Bombyx mori: one gene and its partner. The protein of the gene in region 2 purifies or fractionates together with the protein of the main gene of each other region. This does not show direct contact. Links are inferred from orthologs where the notes say so. Each region holds a gene or a part of one and is shown on either strand. Other genes may lie near its edges.

The links. The genes of interacting proteins can lie anywhere in the genome.
Region 1: the proteins of squamous cell carcinoma antigen recognized by T-cells 3 (region 2) and U6 snRNA-associated Sm-like protein LSm8 purify together in Homo sapiens (affinity purification with mass spectrometry; 4 studies listed by BioGRID and IntAct, counting the BioPlex papers as one, with this or other methods). This does not show direct contact. The link is inferred for Bombyx mori from reciprocal best matches to the Homo sapiens genes SART3 and LSM8.

What each region holds. Positions count from the first base shown.
Region 1 is NC_085112.1:10,370,612-10,373,942, reverse strand, and holds U6 snRNA-associated Sm-like protein LSm8, read right to left. Parts: upstream 1,777-3,331; 5' UTR 1,668-1,776; coding exon 1,377-1,667; 3' UTR 1,349-1,376; downstream 1-1,348. UniProt on the Homo sapiens protein: Plays a role in pre-mRNA splicing as component of the U4/U6-U5 tri-snRNP complex that is involved in spliceosome assembly, and as component of the precatalytic spliceosome (spliceosome B complex).
Region 2 is NC_085122.1:6,462,202-6,466,364, reverse strand, and holds the end of squamous cell carcinoma antigen recognized by T-cells 3, read left to right. Parts: intron 1-313; coding exon 314-546; intron 547-1,231; coding exon 1,232-1,411; intron 1,412-2,334; coding exon 2,335-2,497; 3' UTR 2,498-3,246; downstream 3,247-4,163. UniProt on the Homo sapiens protein: U6 snRNP-binding protein that functions as a recycling factor of the splicing machinery. Promotes the initial reassembly of U4 and U6 snRNPs following their ejection from the spliceosome during its maturation.

The DNA of each region.
Region 1 (3,331 bases), on a different chromosome or scaffold from region 2:
TGGACTTTTTGGAAAAAACCCGAAAATCCACGTTCAGCGACTTTGTTTCATTTTCTCACATTTGTGTACTTTTACAGATGCTAAACAATGAATAACCAGTGATTACACGTTTAAACCTGAATAATCACCACATATGTAAATCAAGAAATTAAACAATTGACCCAACTTCGCTTCTCGCGTCGATCGCCAAAAGATCATTCCTTTAGTATTATTAATTTAGGCCCATCATGTTTCATATTTAATTGAACATAAAATATGTACTGTTTCAAAATTGTTCAAAATTAGAATCATTACCACTCTTAGATGGTACTCGAATTTTGGTAAAATAATGTACTGCTCGTATTTAATAAACTTGTGCAATATAATTAGGTAGGTAATATTATAGTGTGTAGTGGAATAAGGTTCTTTCTAATTTTGTTTGTAGCACTATGCAACATTTTAATTTGGGAACTTTTTTGTTCAGTAAGTAGATAAACAAATAACAATTGAATTATAATTAAACATATATATTATGTAACAACAAACTGGTAAAAACAAGCATACATGTAATTTGACAAACTTACAATAGATGAATAAATGAATGACCTCTGGGTATTCAGAATATGAGTAGTGTGCATAATTTTGAAGTTTCCTAAAACAGACTGAAAGGAATATGTATCCGTTTTTACGGAATTTGTTCTCTTAATTATGTAATTAATGAGGCTTGCTCCTTTTTATTTAATCAATGGAATGTGATTTTTCCAATGAAATAATTACCAATGCTAAAACATTTTTTGTGACACGATTAAAATAAAAAATTCAAGCATCTTTTTCTTGTTTATTTGGCTTTGCCGATTAAAAGAAATGCTATTATGCTTATTCTAAAACGGTTATTTATATGCCAGTTACTAGAGCACAAACACATTAAAAAAATTGTGTTGGTAACAGGCTAACTGAGCTGATTGTGATGAGACCCATTAGCAAATGAGAAATAAGGTTCTTTTAGTACCTATGAATATTTTTGATTCCTGTGAATATATTATACAGGGATTTAATGTATTTGAACCTTCATGTGTATTTTGTGAAAGAGTAAAACATATAACCCTTAATTTGGTAGTTTACAATAGGCATCATAAGTAACTTCCTAAGGATTATGTTCAAAGAAATGAACATATATCCAGGGTGTTGTCTATTCTAACAGGTATTACAGGGCATGCTATCACAAATCCTATTCAGAGAATGGAAAACCCAAGCCAGGGCTAAGATTAATTTTTATGGGTGAAAATATGTATTCTGCTTTGCGAATTAGTAAATCAAGACAAGAGACGAATACAAAATATGATATTTATTTGCCCAAATGAAACACCGATTGATAACAAAACATTTATTAACTAGTTCTAATGTACCATTGGTCCAAGTGGTTCTGCCTTGATGTTTCCGAGGTCTAATCTGCTATCAATTGACTCGTCTATTTGCCCGACTATTGCCACATTGTCTCCTCTGATTATGTGAAGTCCAAGTACTACTTGAGCGACGCCACTTGTGGAGGAAAACACTCTTTCGTGAGATTCGTCTAAAATAATATTTATTGTTTGGTCAAAGCCCTTAAGGGTGCCAATAAAATTACGTCCATCCGAAGTTATTACCGACACTGTTTGATTCACGTAATTTTCGAGTCCAGAAGCCATTCTAATTATTTTATTTATAAATTCAAATTAGTAATAATCAACATCAAACAACTATAAGAAATTTTCAAATTTCAGGGAGCTGCCACAGATTATTATTTGAAATGTGTACCTACACAGATTAGTATAATAGCTACTACAATTACTATTACTACCTACATGATTACTACATAATAAATAATAGTTTAAAAAAATAAAAAACACGCTTTATCTAAAATTCAACTAAAAAAATAGAAAATAAATTTTAATAAATTTAAATTGAATATAGTGTAAAATATATTTTATTGTAAAAAAAGCATGGGGTGCATGGTGTTATTAGTTATAAATATTTTTCTGACAGATATGAGTAGAAGAATTATTATTTCAATAATATCTTAAAAAGCACCCCACTCTTTTTTTTAAATAAAATATATTTTACACTATTTTCAATTTAAATTTATTAAAATTTATTTTAATTTTTTAGTTGAATTTTATATAAAGTGTCTTTTTTAGTTTTTTAAACTATTATGTATTTTAAATTTTCTTTAAAAGCGTATTTTTAAAACTATTAAGTACATTAACATCAATTCCTGCCTTATCGAGTATAGATAAAAATTATATAAATTGACCAAAATCTTATTTTATAAATTGAATAATGGAATAATCTTATCAAATTAGTATTTTTTTATCGGTCCTCGATAAATCTACAAAGTTTGAATGAATTCTGGCCGTTTAAAGTGGGTCAAAATCGCGTCTAAAGGAGTCAGTTGCAAACATACATACAAGTGAAGTTAATATAAAGCGTGTAAATTGGGTAGAAAAGATCTGACGGATCATATATTCACAAATTATTATGATACACCAGCAGCCAGGGAACCGGGGTAAATTACCTAAAATGAAATTTTGGGGCGTAAAAATGAAACTTTTGTGAGTAAAAAGTATATATTGAAGTGAAGCTTCTTTAGAATCGTTGTGATTTCAAATTCGATGAAACGAAATTAAACGAAACGAAAAATAAGTCCATAGAGACACAAACACATAAATATATAGGATTCAGCCGGCGAGAGAATGAGATAGAACACATTATTTGGAAACACAAAGTTCACGTGATTGACCCAGGTATTTTATTGTAGGCATCGTGTGAATTATAAAATAACAAGAAATTATCAATTACTTATATTCTCTGTGGGGGTGATTTTTTTTCCTCAACTGTATATTACAGATATTACTATTATTACCGTTATGTATTACTATGTATTACATTGATAAATTGAATAAATGATGCTTAAATTAAATTTTTAGTTTTTTCTTTTGAAAATTATCATCGGGGCTATAATATGAAAGATACTAAAAAGAAGCGATTTCATATTTTTTTTGTTCTTCGCCATGGGGTAATTACCCAACCAACCAACTTAAAAAAATATATTTTGGGGTAATAATTAAAAAAGTTCCCCGACCGCTGTGATACACTGTGCAACATATTACCGAGTAATGCTTCTCTACAATATTGTGGACAACAAGTCACAAGACACAAGCAATAACTTATTTTTCGCAATACTTACTATTAATAGTATGAATATATGGCAAGTGTCGAGTTACGACATTGATAATTAGGTACTAATGTTTAGATGTTAGTCACCGTTTCAGCAGAGAAACTACATCGCTATTGTATTTATGTATTATTCGTA
Region 2 (4,163 bases):
TTATGGACTCCGGTAACCACTTAACACTTGGTGGGCCGTAAACTCGTCCATCCGTCTAAGGAAAAAGTTATAAAAAAAATACATCGATTTCAAAGTATCGATTATTCATAAACTTCATTTTGATTTCTCTTCAAACTTCCCGCCATGCGTTAGTACGTGTTGAGAGCAGGTACAGTGGTTCTCCCTATTTCTGCCGCGAATCGATCACGTGCTTTAAAGATCGAAGCGGCAGTTTGTACAAATCGATAGAGATGAACTAACGCATCGATCCTTAGTTTCGCAGCACTATAATCCGAAATGTTTTATTCGACAGGACTCAGTGGAGGAGGCTCTGAAGCACGATCGAACTCCTTTAGACGGCAGACCGATGTTCTTGTCTCGATACTCGGCCGATAAATCTAAGGCGACCTTCAAATACGCTACCACGATGGAGAAGAACAAGTTGTTCGTGACGGGCCTGCCTTACTCGCGCTGCAATAAGGAGTGTTTGACCGAAATATTCGAGAAGTACGGCAAACTGAAAGACATCCGGGTGGTCACTTTCAAGTGAGTATACACGTCATCGTCTAACATAGTGCTCTCTCTGTCTAGCACGAATCTAAAACGATTAGTGTCACGAAAGGAATTTATCGATTTTTTTTTAACCTACCTATAAGCTGATAAGCCTTTAGAAGCTATTTCAACTTTACTAGCGTGTAGGTGAGCTCAAGGGACTCAGACCGGAGATGTTGCTAACACTAACCCCAGCAAGAGCCGTGCTTCGCAGAATCTCCCATCGGATCGGAAACGCGACCCACTGAGAAGATTCGACGAGAAACTCAGAGGGCTGTGTCGCTTGCGACGAAGGGCTCGGCGAGCGAATTAACCCCTTCGTCGCAAGCGACGGGTTCGACGAGCGAATTAACCCGCAGACATAGCCCTCTGAGTTTCTCGTCGGATCTTCTCAGTGGGCCAGCTAATGACGTGTTTTGGGCACATTTCATAATAAAAGCATTAAATGAATGATAATTTTTACTAAAGTATATTTCGTTATTGGTGACCAACGTTGATTTACAAAAGAAATTCGTAAGACACTTTTTTACTACTCTATTTGAGAGGCGAGTTCATGAGCCTACGAGCTCCTGGTATTAAAACGGTCAAACCGAAGACATCAGGAGGTTTAGAGACCTCGCTCGCTCTGAGGTCGTAGTTTACAAAACACAGTTTGTTAATGAAATGACAATTATTCCAGAGACGGGAAACCGAAAGGTTTGGCGTACGTCGATTACGAGGACGAAGATTCCGCGGCCAGAGCCATAGCGGCGACGAACGGCACGACGGTGGGGGACAGGAAAATAGAGGTCGCGATCAGCCAGCCCCCGCCCCGCGCCGCCCGCCCGACCCCCGCCAGCCGCCCGCCCGCCGCCGGCATGTGAGCACACGCTTGTCACTTATGGCCATTTCGCGAAAGCGACACGACACGAGACGAATCCGTAGATACTGAGAATGAATCTATTTCTAGAAGACTTTTTTTCCCTACCTAAGCTGAGAGCCTTGAGAGGCTATATCAGCGTAGCCTTAACTAGTAGGTGAGCTCACGGGGCTCAAACCTGATGACGTTGCTAACACGAACCCTAGCAAGAGCCGTGCTTCGCAGAATCTACCACCGGATCGGAAACGCGACCCACTGAGAAGATCCGGCGAGAAACTGAGTGGGTGTGTCTGAGGGTTAATTTACTCGCCGAGCCCTTGGTCGCAAGCGACGGGTTCGACGAGAACGATGACCGGTGCTTGATTAAAACACCTATGTTGTTATTAATTTGTTTGGGATAAACTAGGTTTTTTTTCGAAAATTTGTTCGTTATTTTGATGTACTTTGTGATGATTGGTCTCTTTTAAAATGAAAACTTTATCAGGCGGATCCCATAAATAGAAAATAGATTTCGATTTGTTTCACGAAAATAAACCATTAGGTGAAAGCAACAACACTGAAATGACAATAGCAAATCAAATTATAACATAAAAAAAAGAAAAAAAGCTAGAGAACAAAATTCAGTCTTATCTCTTGCACTAACAAACTTTGCTGGCAGTGACGTCATGGCGTCCTGGTTTCGCCACTGTGGGATTGATATTCCCTCTTGAACCAATGTTCAACTTTCGTAATATGTTATTTCACAATTTACTACATCCTAAAAGAATCAATTTTTGATGTTCTTTCTATTTTAAATTTCGAACAACATTTTTCAAGTAAAAAAAAATTCAACATGACCGCTGAATTCATATTAAGATAATTAAAATTTTGTTAGTAAACCATAGGTGAACTATAATGAAATCTTTTGTAATTTTTTGTTAAAGGCGGCGGACGCAGCTAAGCTTCCTTCCTCGAGTTTTGCAGCAAGCCTCAACGAGCAAGGAGTCTTCGACAAACAGCCACGCCAACGGCACCGAGAAGCGACCTCTCTCTAATAGTGACTTTAAAAAAATGATTGCGTCATCTTCTTCTTCTCACGACAATTGAATCATAACATCACATTATTTTTAGGATTCATTTAAGTAATAAAAACATTCTCAATAATATCTTAATCTTAATTAAATTCTATCCTCGGTTTCAGCTTTAGTATACATTAAAATTTGATTCAAAAGTTTAAAATGAATCTATTTCACGGTCCGTCTGACGTTTTAAAGCTACGTAACCGCACGTGAATCGCTAATTACAGTGAATGCGATTTGTTTTGTGTAGATATTTTGCTTGCGGCTCACGTATATATGAGAATTAAAAGAGGGACAGACTAAATCGAATGTTATCTTTGATAATGTATGATAGAAGTTTGAATGATCGATAAAGGTGATTTACATTTGCGTTTTCTGATTAAGTGAATGTACATACATATATATCTATGAAAAATATTATAAATGTCGCATGCATTCTACAACGTCTCTCTGTGCTTCATTGTAAAATGTTCGATTTACGATATTACGTCGATGTATTTAAAAATACATTGACGTAATATCGAAGTCTGTCCCTAAATCGGCTTATAAATTTAAAAAAAAAGACTGTTGTGTTATTTTTGTTAAAACGATATTATCGTTGATTTGTGAATTGCAGGTCAAATGCAGTAGGCGAAAGTAGAAAACTATTTAAATTAAAACGTTTACTCAACTGAAGATGTGATTGTCGTTGTCTCATCTCAGTGAAATCTATTAATGTAAGTTAGTGTTAATATGTGAGTGTATTCGAAGAAAGTGAATAAAGTACTTGTTTTATTATTAGACAGTTTTATTTCAGTGAGTACTTGGGTGCTTGGTTATAACAATGACTTGTCGAAGTCGTCGTGGCCTAACGGATAAGACGTCCGGTGCATTCGTGTTGAGCGATGCATCGGTGTTCGAATCCCGCAGGCGGGTACCAATTTTTCTAATGAAATACGTACTCAACAAATGTTCACGATTGATTTCCACGGTGAAGGAATAACATCGTGTAATAAAAATGAAACCCGCAAAATTATAATTTGCGTAATTACTGGTGGTAGGACCTCTTGTGAGTCCGCACGGGTAGGTACCACCGCCCTGCCTATTTCTGCCGTGAAGCAGTAATGCGTTTCGGTTTGAAGGGTGGGGCAGCCGTTGTAACTATAATTGAGACCTTAGAACTAATATCTCAAGGTGGGTGGCGCATTTACGTTGTAGATGTCTATGGGCTCCAGTAACCACTTAACACCAGGTGGGCTGTGAGCTCGTCCACTCATCTAAGCAATAAAAAATAAAAAAACTTTGTTTCTGTGGTTGATTTGCAAAAGCTTGCTGTTCTACACATCTAGTGCTTTAATTAATATTGTTTGTTTTTATATAAACATAATTCTTTGTGTATTTCTGTAACTGACCTCCTAGAAATGGATTTTACTGTTTTGTTGTTTGAGTGCGACCTGTGCTCAGTGCGTGTTTTTTAACGTTCTCGATAGCGTAAAAGTTAACTCAAATTTGTATGAAGTTGGAACATGACTAGTAGAAAACGTGAGCAAACGTTCCAACTCCATACAAATTGAGACCGTCAGCGCAAAAGTGGCCTAAGCTTACCGTAGTTATTATGGAGGCAATTAGGTTTGAATTTTCATGAATTTGAATTTGAGTAGGCAAAAAAACAATACGCGCAAAAATAATGTTTACAAAGCTATGTGTTATCTATG